Linked DNA regions of Alligator mississippiensis. The protein of the gene in region 1 interacts with the protein of each later gene in a pairwise test. Links are inferred from orthologs where the notes say so. Each region holds a gene or a part of one and is shown in the gene's direction. Other genes may lie near its edges. The genes, in order: SREK1IP1, PRR13, SDCBP2 and STAC3.

Region 1 (7,211 bases):
AACCAAGAGTTCTCATTTTTTGTATGTCTTTTTGTCTCAGACCAACACGGCTACCAAGTACACCCCTTAAATACTTTAGGCATTTCTGCATCATGCAATATTGGCTTCTAGTCTCTGTTCAGGAAGGAATCGACACTTTTCTTATCCTTCCTCTTCCAACATACTTCCACAATCCCTTTGTGTTCCCTTGTAGCCATGTTTCTGTTTTTGTAAGATTCCTTTTTGAACTCTGAAGAAATTGAAGAGCTCAATATTTAGCCAAGCAGAGGCCTTGCTTCCTATGAAGATAGCATGCTCATGCCCTTAATAGTGTATCTTCAAGAAATAATAAATCCTTCTGATTTACTTTTTTCCCCATAGACTTGCCTCCTATGGCATAGTATTGATCAGTTCTCCGAATCTGTTAAAAGCTGTTTGCCTTTAGCCCAATGTCTTTATTTTATTGTTTTCCCATCCTTCTTTCTGTATGCTAGTTCTCATGACTTGATAAAGAGTTCACTGTCTTCCACCTTCAGATTCTCAACCAATTCCTCCCCATCATTAAGGAATAAATTGAGAAGATCCTCCTCTAGTTGGTTTTGCCACCATCTGTACCATAAAGTTGCCCCCAACACAGTCTAAGAACTTGCTGGAATGTATGTGCACTGCCATGATACCTTACTTATTATGGGAAGTTCTAGGAAAAGTCCCTCATGAACACACACGTCATATGATTTAGATATTTAATTTAACCAGTTTTGAAAAGGCCTTACCCATCCTCTCCTACTAATTTGGTGGGCTATTGTCAGGGTGACCCCATTATTTTGAAGGAAAACTGGGATGGGGGGGGGGGTCACATACATGTACATACCCCAGACCTGCACGCATGCACCCCTTCCCCCACCCAGAGCCGAGGTTCGAGCAGGGTGGGGTGGGACAGTGCGGAGGCCCAGGTTCAGGCTCTGTTCCTCCATGCGCAGAGGCTGAACCCAGCTGGGAGAGGCTCCTGTGTGGTGCCCCTCAAGCTCTGCCAGCTTGCGCTATGTAGCCACACAGCGCCTTCCCCCAGCCACTGTCAGCCACCTGGGGCCGCCACATGAAGCCCAGACCTTGGCAGCAGCAGAACATGAGGCTGCTGGTGGCCATGCCGGTTTACCTTATACATGTTCCTGAGCCCCAGCCCCCTTCCCTGGTGCTGTTCCTGAGCCCCCGCCTCACCTCAGCCCATCCCCACACTAGGCAGGAGGGTCAGGTCAGATACCATGCTCAGCGCACCCCTGCAGCCTCCAGAAACTGCTCAGGAGGAACAGCACCAGGTATGTGTAGGCAGGGTGCTGCCTCTAATCCTAGACTTCTGCTTCTATTTTAGGCAACTGGCAGGGACAGCCCATGAAATTGGGGACTGTCCTGGCCAAAACAGGACATATACCTTAGCTATTGTAGATACCCACCAGGACCATCCTCCTTGCTGTTTTCCTCTTTTACCTTAAATCCAAGACTCTAAACAGGACCTCAGAACAAGTACATGTATTTTTAACATGCAAAATATACTGCAACTGAACATTTGCAGATGAAGTCTCTGATCAAATCACACCATAGTTTGAATGAAAAAATATTTTCCTTCTCCAATCTGAGAAATGCAGAGGCAGAAGTGGAAGATCGGTTTGGATTTGCAGCAGCAACAGCAGCCATAACATACTGGCTGTCGACTTTTCTCCCCTCAAAGTGGTGCTGATACACAAGATATAGCTCTGAATTAAAGCATGTGATAAGAATTTATCATTGGTGACTTGGCATGTGACACTTGTGTGCATCATTTTATCTCATTATACAAGGGGTTGGCAACCTATGGCTCAGGGCACTGACATTACACTTGTGCTACGGCAGCAGTGGAGGCATCCACAGGCTTGTAACCCCTGCCCTGTTCCATATTCCCTCCGTAGCACCTGCTGATCACCAGCAAACACAGATTTGTGGGTCACAGCAGAGAGCTGGGTTGCCAGCAGAAGCTTGTAATGGCAAAATGTTGCAAATCCATGCTTTTTATCAACATCCTCTACTTCTTTTCTTTTGGCATCTTTCCGTCTATGACAGATGGTAGATATTGCAGCCTATGACATAGATCTGAGGTTTTTTTCAAACTTTTTTAACTAGTGCACCCCTTCTGGTGGCAGCGGCTAGAAATGGGGCGGGGGAGGGCTGGGCTCGCATGTGGAGGCTGCTGCCACTACCCACCACCCCGTGTTGCCACTGTGCCCCGCTCTCCCACAGCCAGTCGGACATGTGGCTCTGAGGGCTGCTGATAGGCCTTGCGCCCGGCCAATCGTGCACCGCCTGTCAGCACCCCATGGAGCCACACATCCATAGAAAAGCTGCGCATAGCAGTGGCGTGTGGTGGTGGGTGGCAGTGGTGTGTGAGCTCCCCCATCCCCTGCGTCCGGCCAGCCAGGCTGCACCTGTGCGGCCCGCAGATGTGCACTGCTGCCCTTGCCCTCTCTGGACCTGCTCCTGGGAGGTGGCGGCATGGGGTGGTGGCCACCGCATGCAAGTGCCCCCGCCCCACATCGAGCCAACCCTAGGGGATGCAGGGCCCAGGGCAAATCAGCCTGTGTGGGGCCCCTTTAACATGGCATGGGGTCATGGGACCCCCACAAAGGCAATGAAATTTGGTGCCCAGGGGCCAAGCAGATCTCATGTGCCCCGACAAGCCGCTCTTCAGCAGATGCAAAGCTGGTGACGTGCTGCGGGAGGATAGCGGGGTGGCAAGCAGCTAGATACTTCTTCTGCGGCGTGGGGCTGAGCTGCCAGCTCCAGGCGGGCCCCATGGGAGGGGCTGTGGCCATTCTGCCCAGCTCTGCGGGGCCCCCCCCAAGCATGAGGCCTGGGGCGGTCGCCCCTGATTTGCCCTACCCAAAGGACAGCCCTGCGCACATCCATCATCAGAGGCGCTGCTGCCCTCGCCCTCCCGCCCCAGCCCTGCCCCTGGGAGCAGGCACAGAAACACACTTCCCCACACCCCCGCCATTCAGGCCCTTTGTGCCTTGCAGCTCTGCAGGCAGGAGGTGTCCGCAGCACTTTCCTGCCATCAGCTATTGGCTGAGGGTAGCAGCCAATCAGGAGACTGCGCTGGGGTGAGGTGCTGCAGTGTGCGTGGGGCCACCCGGTCCCTCAGGTAAGAGGGAACATGTGGGAGCGCGCTGGAGGGGATGCCCCTGCTGTGCCCTGGGGCGCGCTCCGTCCTTGCCTGCCCGTGAGTATCCTCTATGACCTCTCTAAGTACCCCTAGGGGTATGCATGCCCCAGGGCTGATGACCTGACAGATGGTTCGCAGCATCTCATGTGACTGCATATCCTGTGCTAGCCACTGCCCATCTCCGTGCAAGGCACCCACCTTCTGGCCTCCCACGTTCGGACCCTAGAGTGGCCAACCCTCCGGGATTGCCCTGCAGTCTCCAGGAGTCAGATATACATCTCCAGGAGACTGCTAAGAGTCACCTGGGAGATAAATAATACAGCATTCATTAAAATAAATATTAAATGGTGAATCTAATGTATACAGTAGTCCAGTGAGTTTTTAAAATGCAATGGTACATTTGCCTTCCTGAGCGCGGTACAGCAGAGCAGTCATTAATGCACTGCATCACGTGATGAAACCTCAGCTTCAAACAGAGCCGCCCACCCCGTCGGTCCCACGCGGAGTAGCCGGGCCCAGGCCTCACCCCAGCCTGGGACCAGCCCTGTGCCCCGGCCCCGGCCCAGCACACCGCAGGACTGGGCCCGCACGGGGATGTGGAAGCAGGGACCGGGTATCCCGGACGACAGCGCCCACGGGACGGATCCGGCCCCGGCTCCTCGTTTCCCCAGAGTGGCGCAGCCGCCCTCGAGAAGAACGACACGGCCATTCCCCGCTGCTCTTCGCCCCCGGCCCCGGCCCCGGCCCCGGCCCCGGCCGCACCTTGCCGTGCGTAGGCGGCTCCTGGATGTAGATGTTACTCATGCTGCCCCCGCCGCGATCCGGCCGCGCCGCGCCCCTTCCCCCACGGGCCCGCCTAGCTCCGCGCGTCGCCCGCCATGTTGGGCCGTACCACTCAGCTGCGGGGGGCGGGGGGCGCGGGGGATAATGCGGTTGTGATGGGGTCGCAGGCCGCCTGGGTAGGGCGGCGCGCTACCCCCATCTCGCACTCCTAGGCCTCGCAGCTGCTCCCCTCGGGCCGCCCCCGCGCCTCCCTTTCCCCCCCCCCCGCCTGGGCGAGTGGTGCGGCCCACGGCGCGTCGCGCTCAGCCCCGGCCCGGAACAACGCGGCCCGAGCAGGCGGAGGAGGAGGATGGCGCTGCCAGGTGGGCACCTTGTTTGTGGGCAGCGGGTGGCGGCCCCTTCCCCGTGTCCTAGTCCCCCGGCCGGGCTGGGAGCGCCCTGCCCGCAACCGGGGCCAGGTCGCAGCCCAGGCTCCTGGATGCGGGGACTCCCCCTCCGCGCAGGGTGCGGGGAGTTGTCCCCACCTGTGGGGCGTAGGGTTGCCAACCCTCCAGGATCGCCCGGGAGCCTCCAGGAATTGGATACAATCTCCAGGAGACTGCTGAGAGTCACCCGGGAGACAAGTAATAGGGCGTTCTTTAAAATAAACATTAAATGTTGCATCCAGTTTAGGCCCATGGGGTTTTTTTTTTTTTAATGTAATAGTAATATGCATTTGCCTTCCTGAGTGCAGTACAGTAGACTGATCATTAATGTCACTACATCACGTGAGGAAACCTCCTGGAATAGATTCAAACAAAGTTGGCAACCCGAAGTGGGGCATTGCCTTCCTCTGCCCGGCCTGGCCCTCTCCCAGGGTCTCCTGAGCGTACGCTGACCCCCTTGTACAGCAGCCAGACATGGGTTGCTGCGTCCCCTGCTCTGCCTGGGGTAGGTGAGGGTGTGAGGGCCGTGGTGTGTCAGGGTTGAGCTCAGGCTTGTGCATGCACAGTTTAGATGTGGGTTTGTACAGGATGGTTTGGGTAGGGAGGATCCTGCCTGTCAGGCAGGGGTTGGACTAGATGACCAACGGGCGTAGTATGCACTCTAGATTATTTTCTGGTGATGTTTCAGCTCAGTTAAGCAGTCAGGCAACAGCATCAAAAACATTCACAAAGTGAACTGTAAGTCACTTTCAGAAAGCAAATTTTCCCAGATCTACAGAATACCCCACCCGTCAAGGAAAGAAGTTTTAATTGCCAAGCAGGGCTTTGTAAGGGATATGCTGTGGTTTTAAAAATGTTTCCATGCTAGTTTATTGGGCGACTTGTTTTCTTCCTGCCTGTGTGTGGAGCTTTAAAGTGGAGTACAGTTTGTACTGACTGGCCCCGCTCTTTAGGCCTGAAACTCATGTGCCTGGTGAACTAGGACAGCTGTAGAGAGATCTCCAGGCTGTAGGTTTAGTTTTGGAGTATCCTTCTCCTAGGTAGGTTCCCAGACCAGGGGTAAAGAGTTCCACCTGCCCTAGTTATTGGGGTTGGGTCGCTATTTGTCTGAAACCTCACCTTTGACCTTAATGCCATAGGATACCCTACCAAAAAGGCTGTCCAGACAGCATCATTCTCAGGATCATCAGGGCACGCAAGCCTCTCCACCACAACAAGGAAGAGGAGTTTATTGCTTCATAACAAATCAAGCTCGTTCTGCCATCAGTGAAATTGCTGCTGAGTGGAAGTATTGGCCACAATCACGATGCAGAGTAATCCCGAGTTCAGTAAAAACTCATACAGAAAATTTAAACTTTCAGCAGCCTTTTATAATTGGTTTGGGCTTTGCTGGCCTTATATATTCCTTTTTCTAGTGGCCATATCTAACATGACAGCACCCTGAATTGAATTGTTTGCAGGGTTTGAATCCCAGAAGACTGGGTTATATGTCTGTGTGAGCTAGTGGACAAGGTGTGTTAGCTCAAAGCAGCAGGACAATTATAAAGCTCTATGCATGGGCTACCTGCTGGAATGGAACCAAGGGGTGTGTATAAAAGTTATTTTTTTTCACCACTTAAAGCGCTTTATTGCCATGACAGGGGGATAAGCCTGGGTGGAAGGAGGGAGGGATTGAGGCTCCCCTAGTGAGGGAGGAAGGAGTGGGGCTGGAGTTGCTGCCCAGCTAGGATGGGGCCTGGGACCGAAATGTGTGGGCACAGAGTTTGGGCAGAGAGTGGGATGGAGCTGCAGGCGGTTCATTTGGCGGGCAGCAAGGGGCCTGGCTTTCCACTGCTGCCCACATGTCCTCCAGATTTGTGCGCAGGGCAGAAGTGGATGTGGGCTTCTTGCTGCCCTTCCCCTGTGGCCTCTGCGTCTCAGCAGGTGGGACCTGGCGCGGCAGAGTAGGGCAGGGAGGCTTGGTGCTGCATCTGGGGGGCTGGGACAGGAGGCACCTCATCATGGCAATGCGAGGCTCCCAGCTGTGACACCAAGCCTCCCCACCCCACTCTGCCTTGCTGTGTGGGGTCCCACCTGCTGGACCGTGGGGGAAGGGCAGCAGGGCAGAGAGCCCCAAGCCTACAGCAGGCATCCTGCATCTGCCCCCACCACAGGCTCCACTCCAGCTGTGCTCCACAGGTGGCAGCTGGGGCTTGGGTGCTGCTGGGGGAGGGAAGGTAACTGCAGATCCGGGTTCCTGTCCCTGTAGCCCTAGCAGCCGGGGACCCCCTCTGGCAGGACTGGGTGCAGGCAGGGGGCTGTAGGTTGGGAGTGAGTGACACCGGCAGGGTTGGTGCGACTGTGGCTTGGGAGGGAGGGGCAATGGCATGGGCAGGACACTGGCATGTCAGTGCAGCTCCACGCCTCAAAGCAGTGTGGGGAACAGCCACAGCTGGACTTGCATCCTGGTGAGCAAAGGAGGCAGGGGGAGCTCTGATTTTTCCATGATAAAAAAACCCAAAATCAAGTGCCAAAATTTATAGGTATTTAGAATTTATTTATTATAGTGATTGAGGCACTGGTAGGCTTCCAAATTGCTTTTACATTGTAAATGTAAAACATTGTGTTCAACTGATTCTCTCTCTCTCTCTCTCTCTCTCACCTATATATATATATAGAGAGAGAGTGTGAGTGGTGTTTAATTTTAACCACGGAAAAACATGGATTTGGGGTTTTTTTTGATCAGAGAGTCTGCAGCTTTTAAACAGAAAACCAGGATGCCTGGCCATGACTTAATAGAAGTGTATGGATTTACAGTACTTTAAAAATGGATACATCACTTTAAATTACCC
Region 2 (6,129 bases), on another chromosome or scaffold:
GGCTTTGATGCTGGGACTCCTGGGTTCCTCCTTCAGCACACGGAAGGTGGGGGGAGCAGGGGTGTCTCCGGGTGGGGGGCTCTGTCGGACCTGAGAGCTTCGTATGGGGCAGACAGGGCGGGCGAGCAGGCAGGGGGGAAGTGACAGAGAACAGAGGGGGGTCCCAGGCCCTGCCAGTCCCTGGAGGCTAGGAGCAAGAGGGGTCCATCCACCCCCGTCCATCTGTCCATCCGCAGGGCTCCCTGCGGTACTTCCTGGGTCAACATGCCAGCCCCTGGGAGGGCACCGTGCGCCTGGCGCTGTCGCTGGCCTGCGGCCTGGCCTTCCTCCATGATGAGCTGTGGCGCGATGGTGAGACCCCCTCCACCTGCCTGCCCAGCCCCCATGCACCGAGCTTGGCTGACCTGGGGGGTCTCTGCCATGCCCCCCTTCCCCTGGGTGGGGGACTTCTGGCACCCCACTCACCACCCCCCCCCCCCCATTCCCCTGCACGCCCCAGGGTTATACAAGCCAAGCGTGGCCCACCGGGACCTGAGCAGCCAGAATGTGCTGGTGCGGGACGACGGGGCCTGCACCATCGCCGACTTTGGGCTGGCTATAGTGCTGCCCACCAGCCCCGAGGCCTGGCCCAGGGACCGCTCGCCCACCGCCATCAGGAAGGTACCGGGGCTGGCAGAGGGGCCGGGGGGGTGGGACAGGGAGGAGCCCACGTGCAAGCCATAGCACTAGTGCGTGCAAGCTGTGATCCAGAGCTGCAAACATGGGCACCAGTGGGTGCAAATCTCAGCCCAGGCATGTGCACACATGGATACTTGCATGTGCCAGCCTCACAGCCGGGGTAGAGCTGCATGTGAGTCCTGGCCCCAGGATGCACCAGAAGTGACCCCTGGTGCGTATGAGCCTTGTTACTGGGGTGTGCCAGGCTGGTACTTGTGTGTGCAACTTTCAACCCAGCCATGTCCAAATGTGGGCATGCCATGTGTGTGGGGCTGGGCATGTGCATGGGTAAGTGGCTGAGACGTGTGGGTCTGTATTCTTGAGCATGTGGCTAGTGTGTGTGCGCGTACTTGTGTGTGCATGTGCTCATGAGTGTGTGTACTCACTTGTGCATGTGCTCATGTATGCATGTGCTCGCAAGTGCCTGGGATGTGCATGTGTTCACGAGAGCCTGACACGTGCGTGTGCTCATATCTGCATGTGCTCATGAGAGCCTGGCATGTCCATGCACTTACATGTGTACACGCTCATGAGAGCCTGACGCATGTGTGTGTGCACTCACGTGCACATGTGCTCACGAGAACCTGCGTGTGTGCATGACAGCCCGTATGTGCATGATCTCACATGCGTGCGCACTCACAAGAGACTGGCATGCCCAGACACTTATATACACACATCCCGGCACTTACAAGTGTATGTGCTCATGAGAGCCCAGTGCATGTGTGCGCTCATGCGCGCGTGCTCCGGCAGCTGGGGACACAGCGATACATGGCCCCCGAGATCCTGGACGAGAGCCTGGACCTGCGGCGCTGGGGCTGCGCGCTGAAGCAGGCCGACGTCTATGCGTTTGCCCTGGTGCTCTGGGAGATCCTCATGCGCTGCCCTGCGCTCTTCCCAGGTGAGGGCCCCGGGTTCAAGCCTCCAATTTGCACCGGGGCACAGGCCCCAGAGGAAACTGGGGACACCAGGGGAAACTGAGGCAGGTGGGGACAGGCACCAGGGGAACAGCACCCAGACTCACCCCTTGCCCCCCCAGCCCGGGGGGTGCAGTCAGGACCAGTGGGGGTGGGGGGCACAGGACAGTGAGACTGCGGGGGGGGAGGGGGAGGAGCCCCTGAGTTGGGAGCAGGGGGCATTGCCCAGCCTGGGGGTCATCTAGGGCTGGGCAGCCCCAGGGCTGCTTTACATAGCATCGTGCCCCCCCACTCCCCGAGCACCTAGGCCATGCCCGTAATGAAGTGGACTGTGACATTAGCAGATCTCAGGGGGTACGTACAGTGCCCAGGGTGGGGCTGGTGGGAGAATCGGCTCCTTCCCTTGGCTGTGCCCCCCCAGGCTGCAGCGTCCCTGAGTTTCGGCTGGCCTACGAGGCGGAGCTGGGCAGCAGCCCCAGCCCCATGGCGCTGCGGAGGCTGGCGGTGGAGCAGCAGCGGAGGCCAGCCATCCCCCAGGCCTGGATGGGCACCAGAGGGGTAAGGGGAACAAGGGGGGGGGTACAGGGGCTACACCCCCCCATTGCAAGGTTGAGACCCAGGGAGGCCCCTGATGCCCCCCTCTCCTCTGCCAGGTCCCCGGCTGCCTGCAGGAGCTGCTGGAGGACTGCTGGGACCCCGACCCCGAGGCCCGGCTGACGGCCAAGTGCGCCCACCAGCGCCTGCAGCAGCTGGGGCCGGAGCCTCCCTTAGGGGGGCCCTGAGCCAGCCGGGCGCGGTTCCTTATTTCCAGTTCCCTTTTCACTGCTCATCCTTGCCACCTTGAGGACGGCGGCAATGACCGGAGCAAGCTGAAGGCTCCGGGTTTCATCCCCGACGCGCCTTTGCTAATAAAAGTGTGTGATCAAGTCACCCAGCGAGTGCCCCAGCTTGAATGAAGGGCTGAGACTGCCCCCGGGCCCCAGCACCCGGGTTGGAGCCCCCCGAGTGGGCACCTGCAGAGACCCAGTGGCCCCAGCGCTGTCGGGAGCAATGAATTCATTGGTGCTCAGATGAGCCGGGCAGGGCCTGGTGTTGCCCCCTGCGCCCCCCAGGCCTGGCAGGGGAAACTGCCAGGGCCCCCAAGGGAAGCTGAGGCAGGCGGGAGCAGAGACCGGGGAAACTGAGGCAGGCAGTGTGGACCCCGGGGGGAAACTGAGGCAGGTGGGGGCAGACACCAGGGGAAACTGAGGCAGGCGGGGGGGACACCAGGGGAAACTGAGGCAGGCAGCGGCGGATACCGGGGAAAAAGGCAGGCAGGGGAGGACCCCAGGGGAAACTGGGGCAGGCGGGGGAGGACCCCAGGGGAAACTGAGGCAGGCGGGGGGGACACCAGGGGAAACAGGCAGGCGGGGGAGGACCCCAGGGGAAACTGGGGCAGGCGGGGGAGGACCCCAGGGGAAACAGGCAGGCGGGGGGGACACCAGGGGAAACTGGGGCAGGCGGGGGAGGACCCCAGGGGAAACTGAGGCAGGCGGGGGCAGATCCCGGGGGAAACAGGCAGGCGGGGGCAGACCCCAGGGGAAACAGGCAGGCAGGGGGGACACCAGGGGAAACTGAGGCAGGCAGCGGCGGATACCAGGGGAAACTGAGGCAGGCGGGGGCAGACCCCAGGGGAAACAGGCAGGCGGGGGAGGACACCAGGGGAAACTGAGGCAGGCGGGGGAGGACACCAGGGGAACCTGAGGCGGGGGGGGCAGACCCTGGGGGAAACAGGCAGGAAGGGGGGACACCAGGGGAAACTGAAGCAGGCAGTGGCGGACACCAGGGGAAGCTGAGGCAGGCGGGGGAGGACACCAGGGGAAACTGAGGCAGGCGGGGGAGGACACCAGGGGAAACTGAGGCAGGCGGGGGGGGGCAACAGGGGAAACTGAGGCAGGCGGGGTGGACACCAGGGGAAACTGAGGCAGGCGGGGGAGGACACCAGGGGAAACTGAGGCAGGCGGGGGGGGGCAACAGGGGAAACTGAGGCAGGCGGGGTGGACACCAGGGGAAACTGAGGCAGGCGGGGGAGGACACCAGGGGAAACTGAGGCAGGCGGTGCGGACTCCGTGGTAAACTGAGGCAGGTGGCGATGGACCCTGGGGGAAACTGAGGCAGGCGGTGCGGAGCCCGGGGACCGGGCAGGCGGGGGCGGCTCCTCGCCGGGGCGCGGCTGACCCCGGGTGTCCGAGCTCCCCCCCCACTAAAGCCCGCACGTCGCGGCGATCCCCCCCGCCCCTGGAGCCGCTCTAACCATTGGACGGCGCTGCCGGAGCGGGGCCGGCGGCTCCTGCCCCTTTAACACCCCGGGGGCGGGCCCTGCGGGGGGGCGGAGGCCGCTCCCTGTCCCGGTGCGGAGGCGACGGCGGTAGCGCTCTGCTGCGGCCATGTGGGACCCCAGCGCAGGTGGGAGGCCGGGCCGGGGCCGGGGCCGGGGCCGGGCGCGGGGCAGCGGGCGGTGGCCCCGATCGCCCCTTGCACGCTCACTGCAGCTCTGCTTCCCTTGCAGGCCAGCCCGGCCCCGCCTACCCCCCCGGATCGGGCCCCGCCTACCCCCCGGGGCCAAACCCGGCTTACCCCCCGGGGCCAAACCCCGCTTACCCCCCGGGATCCATCCCAGCTCCCCCCCTGGGGCCAAATCCCACCTACCCCCAGGGCCCGATGCCCCCCAGCTCCTACCCCATGCCCCCCGGCCCCGGCCAGCCCCCCTACCTGCCAGGCCAGCCAGTGCCTCCCCCCTACCCCGGGGGCCCTTACCCCCCGATGTGCCCCGGGGTGCCGGCGGGGATGGGCATTGTCGCCCCCCTGGTGCCCGGGGCCCCTGCGCTGGATAAGAAGGCGGCGAAGAAGATGAAGAAGAAGATGAAGAAGGCGCACAAGGGGCACAAGCCACACAAGCTGCACGGGAAGGTGAGGGGGGGTCCTGGGGCCAACCCAGCCTGGGATTGACCCCCACGGGGTGGGGGAGCTGCCTCTTCCTAAACGCTGGGTCCAGCCCAGCCGGGCGGTGGGGTGTCTCGTGAACGGAGTTGGAGGGGTCTCAGCCCAGCTGCCGCCAGGGGTTTCTCCCCCCTGCCCCCTTGCATGCCCATGGGAGCGCCCAGGGCACAGTGGGGCCTGGCCTTCCCGCCCATGAGCCTCACGCCCGGGTTCTTCCTCCCCGCAGCGCTCCTCCTCCTCATCCTCCAGCAGCTCCTCCGACTGAGCCCGCCCGCCCGCCGCAGCTTGCCAGGAGATGCAACCTTTGCCCGCCTGCGGAAGCCAAGCCCCTGGATCATCCCACTCCCTGAGGCCCCAGGCCGAGGCCCTGCCGCGCTGGGATCAGGGCTAAAAGCAGGCGCCAGGCACCAGAGCCAGGATCCGGCCGGGATCTGGGGTGATCCACTCAATCCCTGGTGGCCTCAGCAACCTGGGGCCTGCTCACAAGCCAGAAGGAAATCCAGACCCCCCCCTCCCCCAGCCAATCCCTTCCTCCCTGCACTGTGTAGCTTCACCCGATTGGCTGCTTTGATGCTGGGGGAGGGGGGTGTTATGGATTGGCCAAGGGGATCTTTTTAGGGGTCCCAGTGGGGGGAATTGACCAATCCCAGGCTCGCTCTTGTGATCTAGTGCAGCCTGGACGCTGCCTACCTCACGGTCAGGACTGGGCAGGACAAGGCCCTGCCTGGTCCTCAGCCCCAGACCTGCACTGGGGGCGACTGGGTGGGGGCGCGAGCTCCCTCCGGGCTCCGCAGCGCTTGCCTTGCACTCGCCTTTCAATAAAGCCTCTTGGTTTCAACCCCCCCACTGGTATCAGACCCTCTGTGGCGCCGGTGGCTTCCCAGAATCCTTTGTAGCCAGTGTCCAGGGCCGGGGGGGCTCATGGTCAGCGGAGCCCCTGACCCATGGGGTGCACCGGACCCCCGCTGTGGGCTGGGCTGTGTTGTGGGATCAGCACCTCCTGGTGCATGCGACTGTCCTATTCTGGAGCACTGGCTTTGCCTTGAAATCCCCAGCACCTGGAGTCCCGTGAGCCGGGGAAAGGAGCAGATCCAGCCCAACTGAGCTCGGGCTGCAGCAAGGAGGCGGGCAGGTGGTGGGGCCAGACCCAGGTACCCGCAAGGCCAACCTGCCGCTGGTGTAACCCAGGAGGGGCTGTGACCCCGCTGTCAGGTGGGGTTGGGAGGTGCCTGCTCTGCCCACTGCTGGCCCTCACCTGCTAATTTATTTCAGCAGGAACATGCAGCTCTTCTGGGGTGGGGGCTGGCGTTGGCCGCAGAGGCCGGGCTGCAGCCATACCCACTGCACAGGGTAGGACGGGGAGCGCCAGCTGCAGGAGTCCGGGAGAGGAGAGGAGCCCTGTGGTCCGTGAGTGCAAGGTGTTGTACAAAGCCCTGCACTGCTGAGCGTGGCCATATCCACAGGTTGGGTCTCCCCAGTGGCATCCAGACCCCTGAGCCAGGTACATCCATGACATCCG
Region 3 (7,869 bases), on another chromosome or scaffold:
GCATCTCTGAGGCCCCACTGGGTGCCGCGCTGCGCTGGGCTCTTGCGGGCCGGGTGCTGATCTCTCCGAGAAAAGAGGCTTGCGGTCTCCGGTGCCCGTGCTGCGTGGCTGGGGGGGGGCTGGGACCTGCACTGCGGTTCCTGTCCCCTCCCTGCCACGTGCCAGCGTCCTGCAGATGTGAGGAGCCTGGCACCAGTTCACAGGGTCTGTAGTTGTCATATGGGAAGGTGGGCTGAGTCTTGGGGCTGCGGTGCCCTGGCTGGGAGCATTGCTCCTTGCCAGGGTCCTGGGCACGCTGCTGCTGAGGGAGGAGGTGCCCGCTTGGGCTGAGGCAGAGGGGTCTTGGCACGGATCTCTTAGCTGGGCTACAGGGCAGCAGTCCCCAGTGCCACCCCTTTTCCCGAGTCCTTGGCAAGAAGAAGGTGGCACCTGGGTGCGTGAGAACACACCCATGTCTGCAGGGACAGCCTGGGACAAGGTGCAGCATGGCAAGGGTTGCACTAGGGAGCATTTACTGCTAATTAACTAGCTGTTAATTATCCCTAATCGCACATACCTGAGGCAGGAGTGGAGACTTGGAAAACCCCGCTGTGTGGCCAGCTGGTCACTCCCAGGGACGGGCTGCCCTGCGTCTGGGGGGACAGCCGCTTCCTCCAGCATCTCCTGCAGCTCGGCCGTCTGTCGCGTCCCCGGCCGGCGCTGCGGTGGTTCTCTGTCTGGTGTTTGCTTGCACTACTGTCAAGCTTTGTGGGCACGGGCCCTGCTGTGCTCAGCGTGGTGCCCAAAGCACCTGCCCCAGAGGGCGTGTGGGCTGAGCGTGGCCTGGCGCAGCAGGGCAGGCTGTGCCAGCTGCGTGCTGCAGCATTGCCCCGAAGCCCGGCTCTGCACGGCGCCGGAGGCTTCTCCGCAAGGCAGGTTTGAGCCAGCGGGCACAGCCGGGCTCAGACTGGCGTGCCGTGTCCCCGCGCTGCCTCCGCCAGCTGTGCTCTGTGTCTCCCGCAGATGAGCGTGGGCCAGCGAGCGAAGATGACCATCTCTCCGGACTACGCCTACGGCTCCACCGGCCACCCCGGCATCATCCCGCCCAACGCCACCCTAATCTTCGACGTGGAGCTTATGAAATTGGAATGACAGGAGGCGCCCAGCCCCCGCTCCCTGTCCTTGGGTAGGTGGGGGGCTCTGGGGCAGGGTCCTGGGAGGCAGGTGTCAGGTCCCGGGTGCGGGGCAATTGGGCTGAGACTCGAGATGCAAGGGGGGTGATGGCAACGATGCACCCTGCGGATCCGGCTGCAGCCAGCCCCTCGTGCTGAGCAGGTGGGGCGTCGCGTCCCTCCGTAAGGGGCAGGCCGCTGGCACCCCATTGCCAGCTGTCCGCAGGTGGCATCGGCTCAGCACCATCTTTCCCCCCTCCCTCCTCCTTCTCTCCCAGGTTTGGCACATGGAGGAATCCAGAATCTCAGCTTCAAGAAGAATGCACATGACTTTGTACGGAGCTTTTCCTGATATTCCACTACACTCGTTGTATAACCCTGTACCTTGATTGAATGTGTTTGGTCACTCAGCTTTGCCTCTGACTCTTCCTCCTTGTATTGTGTTTTTATGTCTTTTAAACTATACGCCGTAAACCTCAACTTTTAGGGGTTTTTCTTCTGGTTTTGTTTTTTTTGTTTCCCCCCCCCCCCCCTTTTGGGCGAGCTCTTCATCTGGTTGTGTTGCCGGCTTTAGTGCGCCCTGGGGCGACCTGTGCTAGGGATCGTTGGAGCGAAGGAAATGTCGGGAGCTGGTTTTGTTCTGTTTTTTTTTTTGGATGCAGATATCTGTTGTGTATGACAAAGAGATTGCCGCTGCCGTTGCAAAAGCCATAGCAGAGCGAGGAGCTGTCAAGGGCTGACTGACTCTGGGGAGCAAAGGGGTCCTTGGCTGGCGGTGTTACTTCCCTGCCTGGGACTGAGACACGGGAACAAGTAGCTTCCTGCTCCCTTCCCGGCAGGGTGGTGCCACCACGCCAGCACTTCCCCCTTGGCGGTGCCCAGAGCGGGCAGTATCCTGCCCCCTTTGCTGCCTGCTGCCTTTACCAGCATGTGGTTGTTTTCCTCCCCCCGCTTCCTCCTCCTGGATTTTGAGGGTCTCTTTTCCTTTCGCCATCCGTGCTCCACCACTACATAGGCTGCAGCATCGCAAGGGGCCTTTTGTACGTGGACGGAAGGGGCTGTTTCCTGGGGGGGCACCGATAGGAACGAGCCCGCGGCGGAAAGCTGGCGCCCCCGCCGTCGCCGGGATGACGAGACCCCAGCGCTCCCGCGCCAAACCTGATGCTGGTCATCACCGCGTGCCGCGGCCTCCCGTTCGGTGCACGGCTCCACCTCCGCTGGCGTCACTTCGGCTCCCTTCCCTTCCCTCTGCCCCGCGTCGTGATTTGGTAAGAGGAATGGCTGCCATCGCTTCCTCCTCCACCGCCACATCAGAGTATTGAGTTTTATGATTGCAATAAAAGTGCTTTATGCTGGCTTTTCTCAACGCTGCCTCTCGCAGGTTTGTCACTCGCCTCTCTGCTGCTGTGCCCTTGGCGCGCTGCCCGGGGCTGCCAGTCTGGGCACCGGCTCTTGCGGCCTGCGGGCTTCTGGAGGGGGCAGCTTGCCTGGTCTCCCTTAGCAAGAGTCTGGATTCGTCCCAGTTGTGCTGGGAGACTGCCTGTCCCTCCAGCTGTCATTGCACTGCCCTAAACCTCTTAAAAAGCTCATCTTTCAGAACGCCGTCTGCATCTCCTCCGCCGCGGCAGCAGGTAACCAGCACCCGATGCCTGGGCAGAAACTTCCCCCGGCCGGGCGTATTGCAGGGGCCTGGCCACACTGCTTGCTTTGGGAGAGCTGGGCAGGGAGCGAGGCTCTCCCCAGCTCTGCCTGCATCCTCCGCGCTGTCTCCCTGCGTGGGTCAGCAGGGCCGCAGGGGGACCAGGGAGCTTGATATTTTTCATGCGTGTGGAGCTGGGCTGGGGCCCGGGTTTGCTCTGCAAGGGGAGCTGATCGTGCAGGAGGGCGGCTGAGGTTACGTCTGGGCTCGGGGGAAAGCGGGTCTGGGAAACAAGCTGGTCAGCCTGGTCTCCTCCTGCCAAGGGATGTGCAGCGATGGTGAGCCTGCTGCTGGCCTGTGGGGCAGTGCATGTGCCCAGGTCTCGTGCTCCCCCCACCCCACCTGCCACGGCTTTGATGCCCACAAGACCGGCTCGCATCCGAGGGGCTTTTTGTTCCGGCTTTAAAATGCTGCGTGAGTCATCGCTTGCTGCCTGCGGCTCCCCCAGCCCTCGCTAGGCACGGGTGTGGGTGGCACCGCGGCGAGCGCCTGTCAGGTTTACTCCCGGCCACTGCTGCACGTGTGGGAGCGGAGGGGACAGGCGGGGGGGGGGGCGTTTGCTCCCCAAAAGATCCCACCTTCGGCCAGTGGCAGTCGGCCGCAGCACCTGTGCCGTGTCTTGGGTGGGAGCAGCATTGCAGGTGCCTGGGGTCGGCTCCTACCCCCTGCCCACCTGGAAGCGCTGCCTTGGAGCGCTTTGCCATGAAGTCTCTGTGCTGCTGCCCTTGCCCCTGGCACCCCGCTCTGCTGCTGGCTCAGGATCCCAGACGGCGCTGCGGAGGCGGCCGGGCAGGGCCTGCGTGCTCAGCGTCAGGTGTGACGATTGCTAAGGTGCCCTCTGCTTTGGCAACGCCATCAACAGGGAAATACCGAGCGCTCGGGCAACGGCTGGCGGGGCTGCAGGTTGCATTCTGCACAGGTGAGCTCACCTGGATGCCGGCACCAGGGGCGGGCTCATCGACAGCTCCCTCAGCCAATGAGACCGGGGGGAGGTGTTGCACCCTGGGTGTTGTTGGCATGCAGAGATCCTCAGGTGGGTGCCTGCCACCGGGCAACTCCTCCCAGGTGCTTTCCCCCAAGGACCCACCTCCTGCCCCAGCCAGCGCTGCCCCAGAGACGCAGCCGGGCTTCCCCGGGGCTTGGCCCCAGGCAGCAGGCAAGGGCCGTTCCTCCCGCGTCATCTCTCTCGGCCTCCGCCGCAGAGTTTTGCAATCGGAGCAACCGGTTTCTCCGCTCCCAGCTCCGGGGCAGAGGTGGGGCTGCTGGTAGTTTCGGGAGGGGGAGGCGGGTCTGGACTGCGTCCAGCTCCGCGCGGAGCGGTTGAGGATACTGGGCACCGGTGCACGATGCTCCGGGATGGGGGTAACCCTGTCGGGGGAGCATCCGCACCGGGGCCTCGCCTGCAGCTGGAGCCCGGGCGCCTTCTGCGCGCGGTGCCATGGGCCTTGCCTGCCGCAGAGGGCGAAGGTCACTCGGTTGCCAGTTTCGGGAGCTCTGCTTCCTCTTCCTCCTCCTGCCCTATTGCCCGCACTCCTGTCCTGCCCTGGCGTCGCAGCGGGCACGGCCGCGTGCCCGGGGGCCGGTGACGGGGGTGGAGGGGCCTGAGCAGCTCCGCGCGACGGGGCTTCGTGCACCTGCTCGGACCCGTGCCCTGGCTGCAGCATTGCTCAGTGGTTAGAGCATCCACCAAAGCGTCAGGCATGCAGGGCCTAGGCTTGCTGCTGACTCAGGCGTCCCTGAGTCACTGTCCCCGCGGCTCTGACGTGGGCGTGCTTCCCACGCCGTGCGCGTGTCGCATGCGTGGAGGAGGCCGGTGCCATGGCAACGGCAAGCATCACAGCTGAGCCGCCGGGACGGCACGTCCCCGCCGAGGGGAGCGTGACATCACTGTGCGCTGGGTGCAGAAGCGCCCGCCGGCCGTGGCAGGAGCCTGTCGAGCACCGGGGCTGGCGGGGGCTCGTGCTTCCCTCTGCAGCCAGCTCGGGCACCGGCGGGGGGAGAAGGGCAGCAGGACCCGGCTGCAGCACTGGAGACCTGGCAGGGGGCTGCAGGGAGCAGCAACAGCCCTTGCAAATAGATCCTCTGGATCAGACCCGCTCCGTGCCCCCAAGCAGAGCGCCTGGTGCACCCCTGGCTCGGGGCACGTCCTAGGCCCCCTCGCCAGGCCGCGCTCCCTCTGTCACCTGTCACCTGCTTGCCTCCTGCATTCCCGGCCGGTGACTGCCAGTCAGCTGATGGAGACGGGCCCCTCCCAGGCTGCCAGCCCTGCTGGTATAAAGCCAGTGGGCTTTGACCCGGGCTGGCAGAGCGTCCCGGGGAAGGGAAGCCTGTTTGCAAGGTGAGCAGCGTGCTTGGGGGTTGCTGTTTGCAGCCCGGGCACAAGGAGCGTGTCACCCGTGGGTGGGCGCTGCGGGCCGGGGGTGCTGAGCAGTGCCGGGAGCTGGGCTTGCCGTGCCTTGCTCCGTGCCTCGCCCGAAACCACAGCCCGCGACGGGGAGGCTGGGGCTTGTTTTGCTCCGACTAGCCCGGGCTGACATCAGGCCGGGCCTTGGACGGCCCCGGGCCGCAGGGGAGGCTCTGGGGAAGGGCGAACCCACAGACGAAGGCTCGTCCCATGCCTGCAAGGATGGCGCTTTCTGTTTTGTGGGCTCTGGAGGTGCCAAAAGCCAAGGTCCCTCCCAGCATCCTTGTGCCCTTGGGGCAGGGGGCTGCAAAGAGGACGGAGCTGGGCTGTGCTCGGTGGGGGCAGATACAGGACAAGGAGCAATGGGCTCAGGTTGGATATTAGGAGAAACTCTCATGAGGAGGGTCACTGGAGGGGTTACGCAGAGCGGTGGTGCAGTCTCCATCCTCGGAGGTGTTTAAGACCTTGGCAGACAAAGCCCTGGCTGGGATGATGGAGTTGGGGCTGGTCCTGCTTGGAGCAGGGGTTGGACTAGATGTGACCCCCGAGGTCCCTGCCAACCCCCCTCCATGAGTCTGCGATCGGTCGTGGCCTGCGCCTGCGTACGGCGGTGGAGCCTGGCCCAGGTGCCCCAGACGGACCCGAGGGAAGCGGAGGAGCCATGGGGAGGGGAGGAGGCATCTCCCCTCCGCAGCCCGGGTGGCTTTGCCTGCAGAGCGGGCTGCAGGGTCAGGTCCGCAGCTCCCCAGGCCGAGCTCAGCACCCTGCCCCGGCTGCTGGAGTAGCCCCCAGCCCGCGGCGCTGCCACGTCTCTGAGTTGTCCGACCGGGACGTGCCATGCCACCGCGCTGTGAACGGGGCAGCGTCGCGGCGTGTCCCCCTGTCACACCGTGGTTTGAGTGAGGGTGTCACCTGGGACGCTCCGCTTCCTGCTCTGCCACAGGGGCCCTGTGGGGCCCTGGTCATGTCACTTAGCTGCTCTCAAGTTCCCGGCTGTAACTGCCCCGCTCTGCTGCCCTAGCGAGATGTTGCCAGCCACGCTGGGCTCGGACCTCGTGGCCTTCAAGGGAGCCACTGCCAAGCACCCAAGGTAGCTGGGCCTGGCTGCAACCTCCCCACCCGCTCCACAGGATGAATCTCCAAGCACGTGGCCTGTCTGCAGCTCGGTGCTGGCACGGTCACTCCGACTAGAGGGTGCAAAGCCTGCGGGTGTGGGGTCTGCAGTCCCTGCAATGTGGGCACACGGGCAGATCTGTGCCTAGAGCGTGTGCTGTGATGGGGGCTGAGCGTGGTGCCCGCCGTGGGCCTGCCGTGTGGCGGGTGCAAGGCAGGGGAGGGGGCTGCCTGGCTGCGCGGGGTCCAGGCTCCCTCCCCGGCGTGCGGACCCTGGTGCCCAGAGGTTACAGACACTCGGGCTTGAGCGGGTGCTTTCCCGGCCCGGGAGCCCCACAGCTGCGGGGAGCAGGCCCGGCACCTGGGCTTAGCCGGTGACAGGGGCACAGAGGCTGCCGTTCATGGAGCACTCATGCCAGCCAGTGCCAGGGGTGGGGCATGGGTCGTGGCCCCGGGGCTGGGTGCCAGCCCGGCTCGGGGAACAATGCACTGCCTGCGGCATCGGCCGAGGCTGCGGGGCACGGCCGGGGGGCCTGTCCTGGGTAGGAGCCTGTGCCGGGACTAGGGGCACCCTGCAGTGCCACGCCGGGCTGAGTCACGCTGCGCCAAGCCACGGGCGTGCACGGCATCACCGGCACCCAACACCTGCGCAGCAAGGCCAGCAGCCGCGCAGGGCACGGCGCAGCACGGAGCCCGAGTCACCTTGGGAGCGGCACGTGGGGAGCGTGTGCGTGCGTGCGTGTGTGTGCATGTGTGAGAGCAAGAGCTAGATGCATGTCTGCGAGAGATCTGTGGGTGCTGTGAGAGACGTGTGTGTCGGTGTGCGAGATGAGACGTGTGTGCGCATGCATGTGAGAGCGATGTGTATGTGTGTGAGAGGCGTGTGTGAGGGAGAGAGCTGTGTTGTGTGAGACGTGTGGGATGGAGATGTATGTGAGAGACGTGCATGTGTGTGTGACAGATATGAGAGGTGTGTGTGAGAGATCAGAGTGTGTGCAAGAGAGTGGTGTGTATGAGAGCTGTGCGTGTGTGACGACTGGGTGTGAGGAGGCAGAGCCGCAGAGTGGCTAACCCCCGTGGCATGCAGGCTCTGTGCTCGGGCGTGTAAAACAGCCTCTGTGGGGCGTGCCAGCCCCCCGGGGGCTCGGTGCCCAATGCCCACCCCCCAGCAGAGCCCAGCCCCCTCCCACGCACCCCTGGAAAGCCGCTGTGGCTGGAATACATGCGTGTGCACACACCAGCCCCAGGTCCAGACATGTGCAGACCCCCACCCCTTCCACCCAGATGCACACCTGCAGGCGTGCACGCACACAGACGTGTCTGCCCGCCACCCCCCCCCCCAGCTCGGGAGCAGGACCCTCACGTCTCCCTGCCGTCCCCCTTTGCAGGAGGCAGCCATGGCCACGCTGTACCCCTCGCTGGAGGACATGAAGGTGGATCAGACCTTGCAGGTAGGTGCCTCGTGCCCAGGGAGGGCTGGTGGGGCCGCGCGGGGCCCCTGC
Region 4 (7,308 bases), on another chromosome or scaffold:
TCATCCCCACGGCCCAGCAGAACGGGACCAGGTATGGGACAGGCTAGCTGAGGCTGTGGTGGGGTTAGTCAGCCAGTGTGGCCCTGCTGGGCTGGGAGGACCTGGGGCGGGGTCTTGCCTGTGACCAGGGGATCTGTGCAATGGGGGCTCACACAGGAGCCCTTCAGCTCTCTCCCCAGAAGCAGCCGCATTCCTATCTCGAGGATGCATGAGCTGAAGGTGCTGCGGGTCCTTGTGGGGGGTGGGGGAGTTGGCTGGTGTTGTCCCCTGCTCCATCACCATCCACCCCCTTCTTTGCAGCTCGTCTGTTGGGTTCCTGCAGCCGCCCGGCTCCGAGCAGTACCAGCTGCCCCAGTCCCCATCGCCCTGCAGCCCACCGCAGATGCAGCAGCAGTATTCAGGTAGCGAGCCCACCTCATTGCACCCCGGGGGTCCCTCTGCTGCCCCTGCCTCAAGCAGGGGCCAGATAGTGATGCCCCCCGCAGCTGAGCCATTGCCAGGCCAGGGGAGTTGGGGCCACGTTGCACCAGCCCCTATCTCACCCCCCCCCCCCCCCCAATGTCCTCCCAGCAGGGGTGTCGGCGTCGGGGCCCGGCGTGGTCGTCATGCAACTCAATGTGCCCAACGGCCCCCAGCCCCCCCAGAACCCGCCCGTGGTGCAGTGGAGTCACTGCAAGTACTACGGCCTGGATCAGCGGGCACAGAAGCCCGGAGAGCTATACAGCCCCGACACCAGCGCTCAGGTACAAGGGGGAGCGGGGGGGCTGGGCCCAACGCATCCCTTCTGTGGGGAAGCCCTGGGCCCTGACCCACTCCCCCCCCCCCGCCCCCCCCCAGGCCAGCACCCAGCTGAGCAGCCCCATCACATCCCCCACCCAGTCCCCGACGCCGTCGCCTGTCACCAGCCTCAGCAGCGTCTGCCCGGGGCTGAGCCCCCTCCCCGTCCTCGCCCAGTTCCCCCGGCCCGTGGGCCCAGCACAAGGTAGGGGCAGGGGCAGGAGCTGTGGGGCAGCTGCCCCCGTGCAGGCCCAGGGGCTCTGGGACAAGGAGGGAGCCCCTAGTCTCTGCAGGAGGTGGGGCTTGGAGCCCAATGGGCCAGACCATTGGTCAGTCTCTGCAGGTGGCAGAGTTTGGAACCCCATGGGGCAGGGGCATTGGCTGGTCAGTGCTAGGGGGTGGAGTCTGGAGCCCCATGGGGTGGGGCCATTGGCTGTTCAGTGCCAAGGGGTGGGGTCTGGAGCTCCATGGGGCAGGGGCATTGGCTGGTCAGTGCCAGGGGGTGGAGTCTGGAGCCCCCTGGGGTGGGGCCATCGGCTGTTCAGTGCCAAGGGGTGGGGTCTGGAGCTCCATGGGGCAGGGGCATTAGCTGGTCAGTACCGGGGACGGAGTCTGGAGCCCCATGGGGTAGGGCCATTGGCTGCTCTGTGCCAAGGGGTGGAGTCTCCAGCCCCATGAGGTGGGGCTATTGGCTGGTCAGTGCCAGGGGGCGGAGTCTGGAGCCCCCTGGGGTGGGAAGCACAGGCTGCTCCTGTGGTGGGGAGCTGACAGGGACCCCCACCAATCTCTGCTCCCACCGGGCAGGCGACGGGCGCTACTCGCTGCTGGGGCAGCCTCTGCAGTACAACCTGGCGCTGTGCCCCCCCCCGCTGCTGCACAGCCAGCCCAGCTACACCTCGCACCAGGTACGGGCGCTGGGCGGGCAAGGGGTAGCTCCTACCATGGGAGGGGGCATCTTGAGGGATGGGGGGGAGCTTGGGGTCACCACTGCCCCCTCAGGAGCTCTGGGGAAGGGGGGACTGAGCCCTGCCACCCTGGCTAGCATGGGGGTGGGGGGCAAGTTGGCAAGGGAGTAGGGGGCAGCATCTTAGGGAACACCTCTTTTAACTCTTGAAGAGCCAGACAGGAATGAAGCACGGGAACAGGGGCAAGAGGCAGGCCCTCAAGTCCGCATCCACTGACCTCGGGACCAGCGATGTAGGCAAGTGATCCCCCCCCCGGGGTATGTCTGGGAGGGGCACGGGGTGTAGAGGCTGGTACCTGGACTCCTTTTCCCTCCCTGCCTAGCCAGGGTATCTTGGCCTGTCCCTCTCCTGCTCTGTGCCTCAGTTTCCCTGCCCACAAAGCTGCGCATGGGGCAGCTTCTGCCACAGCTGAACCCTAATGCATGGGCAGGGAATGCCACCCCCTCCCCCACTGTCCTTGCTTCCAGCTTGGGTAGGGGGCAGGGCATGGTCGGGGGCTGGGAGCCAGGATGCCTGCGTTCTCTCCTGGCTGGCTTCACCCTAGGAGCTGGCTCAGTGCTTGCTATTGGGACCATCCATGACACCCCTGTCCTGCAGGACAGCTGCGGGCCACGTTGCAGCGCCATGGTGGAGCCTCTTGCTCTCTCCGCCCCCTGCTCCCCCCCCCCCCAATGAAACTGGAGCCAGGAGGGGGAGTTTGCTGCGCCCGGGTTAATATTAGCAAGGAATTCAGCTGGCCGGGTCCGGGGCCAGCCGGGGCCACAGGTGGGGGTGGCTGGCACGGGCTCTGCTGGGATTTGTCCCCAGCCACAGCCGTCACAAAATCACCGCCGTGCCCAGGCCTCGCCCACTGCGCCGGGGGAGAACCCAGGCGTCTGGGCTCCTAGATCCCCTCAGGGCCGGGGATGGGCCCCCCGTGGCCCCCCTGGCTGACACCCGTGTCCCCACAGTGCCGGGCCGTGTGCTGGAGGTGACGGACCTGCCCGAGGGCATCACGCGCAGCGAGGCCGACAAGCTCTTCACGCAGCTGGCTATGGCGGGCGCCAAGATCCAGTGGCTGAAGGAGACGCGGGGCCGGCGCGGGGCAGGCGCGGGGGCCGGGGACGGGCGCGTGGGGCCTGAGAACGGGCGGCACCCCGACCTGGCGGCGCTCTACACGGTGGTGGCCGTGTTCCCCAGCCCCCTGGCCGCCCAGAACGCCTCACTGCGCCTCAACACGCCGCTCAGCCGCTTCCGCCTACGTGGTGCCAAGCGCCACTACGACCTGCGCGTGCTGGAGCGCGCCAGCTCCCAGTAGGGCCCCTGCCGGGCTGGGGGCTGCGCTGGACTTTGGCCCCCGGAGCCTCCCCGCGCGCCTCTGCTTTCGTTCACCCCGTTTCTTTCTGGAGATATTTATATGGACGCGATGAAGAGGAGACAGTGATTTGTTCCTGCCACTGCCCTTTGATTTTGGAGTGAGAGGTCCTCGCCCGGACCCCCATAACCCCCCTGGCCTGGCCTGGTTCCCCCTTGACCCAGCCTGGACCCCCCACAGACCCCCCCCTAGCCTGGGCTGGAACCCCCCAGCCTGGCTTGGTCTGAACCTCCCCACATCCCCTGTGTCCTGGTTGATCTCCCACAGCTCCTGGACACCCCCAAGCCTGGTCTGGTCTGAACCACCACCCCCCAACAGACCCCCTGGCCTGGCATGGATCTCCCAAACCACCCCTAGCCTGGCCTGGGACCCTTGCCCCCACAGACCCCCACAGCCTGGCCTGGACCCCCATAAACACCTCAGCTTACAGCTCCCAGATCTCCCCCCCCCCCCCCGAATCCCCTGGCCTGGCCTGAACCCAACCCCACACACAGCTGTGATCCCCACCCCCAGGCTCAGTCTGGACACACATCCCACCCTGGCCTGTCCATGCAGCCTCCAGGCCATAGCCAGGACCCCAGCCCCTCGCCTTTCTTTGAGCCCGTCACAGCCAGGTCCTGACCCTACAACCCTGGTCCAGACGCCCCTCCTCCCAAAGCCCCCAGACTCTCCCAGCCTGGCCTGGACCCTCCACCCCAGCCCAGATACCCTCTCCCCACCACCACCGCCACCACCCCTGGGCTGGCCCTGATGCCCCCAGCCCCATGTCCGTTGCTCTGTCGGGCGCCGCGTGGCCGCACTGGGTTGGTCACTGTACATTTTATTTAATGGGTTTATTATTATTATTGGGGGGGGGCGGGGGGATTTTTTGATTTTTAAATATAAAAAGAAAAAAAAATCGTCTGTCACCAAGGCGGTCTCCGAGTCTGACCCCTGGCCTTTGACCCCATCTGCAAGGGGCATGGTTACACTGTGGGGGGTGGAGAGGAGAACTGGGTTTGACACCCTGCCCCCCTCCCCCCATGCAAGGAGGGCAAGGGGGTGTGACCCCCATCCATGGGGTTATGATCTCATGACCCCCCCCCCCCAAGATGACATATGTCATGGGCTGGGCCCTGGCTGTGCCCCCCCCCCCATGGGGCAGTCCCCCAAGCTGTGCCCTGGCCCCCATGAGCGTGGCCAGCCCCCGCCCAGCTCGGGTTTCGCTGTCATGCGGGCGCAGCTGTCCTGGCCCATCCGCGGGCACCGCCTGGAGCTGGAGTGAGAGGCCCCTGCCCAGCCCGGCCACAGTGTGAGTGCCCCCTGCACCCCAGAGCCCCTGCACCCCTCCCCGTCACCCCCCTCGGCCTTACGAGAGCTGCGGGGGCCCCAGGGGTCTGCTGTCTGTCCCTGGGGGTGGGAGAGGCCCATGGGGGGGGCCAGCTCTGGCGCTTTCCTTGTACAAGCGTCTGGGAGAGCTGGCGGGGAGACCCAAAGGTGGGCACATTGCAGGGGGGGGGCAGTGACACTATCCCCCAGAGGGGGGAGCCCCTGCAGCCCTGGCAGTGCCTCTCCTGCCCCCCAGCCCCAGCCATGCCCCGCACTTCTGACCCGCAGCCCCCGAACAGTGGGACTGGGACTGGGGGGCCAGGTAGATCTTGGGAGTGGGGGGCACAAGAGCAAGGGAGCCAGAGCCGTGACCCCTACCCTGCCTTGGCAGTATGACGGAGAAGGAAGCACTGGAGCCACCGGCCTCACCGGGAGAGATGGCCGAGGGCCAGGTACGTTCTGGGGCCAAGGGGTCCTGGGCAGCCCTAGTGGGGCAGGGCAGGGCCTTGCCACTGCTCCCCCCCCCCCACTTGAAGGGCCCTGGGAGAGTGTTATTTGTGTCTTCCTAGCAGCCAGCATCTCCCCAGGGGGCCGAGTGGGCCGGAGGGCTTGGAGCCTGGATGCCTGGGTTGTACCCCGGCCTGGACGAGGGGGAGCGCCTGGTGCTTTAGGGCAGTGGGAGCTGGTTTCCGTGCCCAGCTGGGGAAGGGCTGTGGGGTCTCCTGGGTTCCACCCCTGCCTCCATCACTGCCATGCGGCCCAGGACACTCCCCCCATCTTCTGTGCCTCAGTTTCCCTGCTGAGCCCCATCTCCCCCAGATCCAGCGGCTCCGGCACCTCTTCCAGCGCAAGGCCCCGGAGCCGCCGCCTGAGACGCCCGAGCCGCAGCCCGAGAACGGGGCCCTGGTGAGCCCCTCGGGGGGGCCCCTCTACTACATCTACGAGGAGGAGGAAGAGGAGGAGGAGGAGCCCGAGCCGCCCCCGGAGCTACCGCCGCCCGTCAATGACAAGCCCCACAAGTTCAAGGAGCATTACTTCAAGAAGCCCAAGTTCTGCGACGTCTGTGCCCGCATGATTGTCCGTGAGTGGGGACCTCCTTCCCCTACCCACAATCCCCTGGGGCAACTACGGGGCCACTCGGCCCTGTCCACAATCCCCTGGGGAAACCATGGGGCCACTCAGCCCTACCCAGAATCCCCTGGGGCAACCACGGGGCCACTCGGCCCCACCCAGAATCCCCTGGGGCAACCACGGGGCCACTCGGCCCTGCCCACAATCCCCTGGGGCAACTACGGGGCCACTCAGCCCTGTCCACAATCCCCTGGGGAAACCATGGGGCCACTCAGCCCTACCCAGAATCCCCTGGGGCAACCACGGGGCCACTCGGCCCTGCCCAGAATCCCCTGGGGCAACCACGGGGCCACTCGGCCCTGCCCACAATCCTCTGCTCTGGCTGGGTGTCCGGGGGTGCTGGCAGAAGGGGGCTCAGGGCTGGGGTGGGGGTTGCAGGGGCTGCAGGGGACCAGGATCTGGGGGGTGCAGGGCACCAGGGACCAGGGGCTGGGGGACCGTGAGGGGCCGCAGGGCACCAGGGAACAGATGCTGGGGCTGGGAGGCTGCGGGGGCCATGACCTGGGCCTGGGGGGCCATAGGGTACCGGGGGCTGGGCCTGGGGGGCCGCAGGGCACTGGGGACCAGTGGCTGGGTGCTGGGGGACCAGGGCTGGGGAGCCAGGGGCTGGGGCTGGGGCTGGGGGACTGTGGGGGGCTGCAGGGTGCCAGGGGCTGCAGGGCTGGGGCTGAGCCGTCCCCTCCTCACAGTGAACAACAAGTTTGGGCTGCGGTGCAAGAACTGCAAGACCAGCATCCACCAGCACTGCCAGTCCTACACCAAGATGCAGCGCTGCTTCGGCAAGATCGTGAGTGCGGGACCCCGCATAGCCCAGGCGTCCGGGTGCTGCCCCGGCCTGCCAGGGCCACCACCTTGCAGGGCCGGGGGCAGAACCCAGGTGTCCGGGCTGGCCCCTAACCCCTATTCCCCCGCAGCCGCCCGGCTTCCGGCGGGCCTACAGCTCGCCCCTGTACAGCGACCAGCAGTACGCCTGCGTCAAGGAGCTGCTCTGTGAGTACCTGCCCCCCCCCGGGGGCGCTCGGGGACTCCCCAGGCCCTGCCCCACCATGCTCAATGCCCCCCTGGGGCATCCCCCCCCCCACAGCCGCCACCAACCGGAGTGACCCCGTGTTCGAGACCCTGCGCACAGGCGTCATCATGGCCAACAAGGAGCGCAAGAAGGGCCAAGAGGAGAAGAAGAACGTGAGGGGGCATTTGGGGGGTGCTGGGGCACTGGGGGGTGGGGGGACATCCATCTCCCCAAGGCATCGCGCTGTTGTGATGGGCCCTCCACTGACCCCCAGGGCATTGTGGGAAACTCCAGCCTGGGAGTAGGCTGGGGCAGGGCCTCCCCCCAAGTCTGAGAGGCCCCAGGAACCAGCTGCCCAGAGCTGCCTCGCCAGTACCCAGAATCCCCTGGGGCAGCCACGGGGCCACCTCCCCTTACCCACTGTCCCCTGGGGCAGCCACGGGGCCACCCCCCCTTACCCACCGTCCCCTGGGGCAGCCACAGGGCCCTATTCCCCTTACCCACAATGCCCTGGGGCAGCCACGAGGCCACCTCCCATGAGCCACAGTCCCCTGGGGCAGCCATGGGGCCACATTCCCCTTACCCACAATCCTCTGCTCAGCCTCAGTGCCCCCAATCTGGTTACCCAGGATCCTCCAGGGCCCCACTCATTCCCAGCCCCCCTCCCCCCTGACCTGCTACCCAGAATCCCCTGGGGCTCTCGCCCTGGCCATGCCCCTGCCCTGGGGCCAGAATACTTTGGGGCTGCCCCCTGCCCTGACCCT

What was found.
Region 2: the proteins of SREK1IP1 (region 1) and PRR13 interact in binary tests that used the Homo sapiens proteins (3 or more experiments, as listed by UniProt). The link is inferred for Alligator mississippiensis from reciprocal best matches to the Homo sapiens genes SREK1IP1 and PRR13.
Region 3: the proteins of SREK1IP1 (region 1) and SDCBP2 interact in binary tests that used the Homo sapiens proteins (3 or more experiments, as listed by UniProt). The two-hybrid records come from large-scale screens. The link is inferred for Alligator mississippiensis from reciprocal best matches to the Homo sapiens genes SREK1IP1 and SDCBP2.
Region 4: the proteins of SREK1IP1 (region 1) and STAC3 interact in binary tests that used the Homo sapiens proteins (3 or more experiments, as listed by UniProt). The two-hybrid records come from large-scale screens. The link is inferred for Alligator mississippiensis from reciprocal best matches to the Homo sapiens genes SREK1IP1 and STAC3.

What each region holds. Positions count from the first base shown.
Region 1 is NC_081826.1:261,518,749-261,525,959, forward strand, and holds the start of SREK1IP1 (protein SREK1IP1), read left to right. Parts: upstream 1-4,070; 5' UTR 4,071-4,304; coding exon 4,305-4,317; intron 4,318-7,211. Other genes in the region: spliceosome-associated protein CWC27 homolog, read right to left, coding at 3,935-3,976. UniProt on the Homo sapiens protein: Possible splicing regulator involved in the control of cellular survival.
Region 2 is NC_081838.1:8,754,927-8,761,055, reverse strand, and holds PRR13 (proline-rich protein 13), read left to right. Parts: upstream 1-3,869; 5' UTR 3,870-4,057; coding exon 4,058-4,076; intron 4,077-4,179; coding exon 4,180-4,580; intron 4,581-4,836; coding exon 4,837-4,875; 3' UTR 4,876-5,452; downstream 5,453-6,129. Other genes in the region: AMHR2 (anti-Muellerian hormone type-2 receptor), read left to right, coding at 237-351, 500-660, 1,468-1,615, 2,053-2,189, 2,285-2,413. UniProt on the Homo sapiens protein: Negatively regulates TSP1 expression at the level of transcription. This down-regulation was shown to reduce taxane-induced apoptosis.
Region 3 is NC_081832.1:2,012,137-2,020,005, reverse strand, and holds the start of SDCBP2 (syntenin-2), read left to right. Parts: upstream 1-4,680; 5' UTR 4,681-5,188; intron 5,189-7,755; 5' UTR 7,756-7,764; coding exon 7,765-7,818; intron 7,819-7,869. Other genes in the region: peptidyl-prolyl cis-trans isomerase FKBP1A, read left to right, coding at 1,003-1,131.
Region 4 is NC_081838.1:7,290,975-7,298,282, reverse strand, and holds the start of STAC3 (SH3 and cysteine-rich domain-containing protein 3), read left to right. Parts: upstream 1-4,092; 5' UTR 4,093-4,187; coding exon 4,188-4,387; exon of another isoform or gene 4,388-4,795; coding exon 4,796-4,856; intron 4,857-5,223; coding exon 5,224-5,485; intron 5,486-6,224; coding exon 6,225-6,322; intron 6,323-6,449; coding exon 6,450-6,525; intron 6,526-6,619; coding exon 6,620-6,717; intron 6,718-7,308. Other genes in the region: R3HDM2 (R3H domain-containing protein 2), read left to right, coding at 1-31, 301-401, 571-743, 838-982, 1,582-1,682, 1,894-1,978, 2,693-3,039. UniProt on the Homo sapiens protein: Required for normal excitation-contraction coupling in skeletal muscle and for normal muscle contraction in response to membrane depolarization. Required for normal Ca(2+) release from the sarcplasmic reticulum, which ultimately leads to muscle contraction.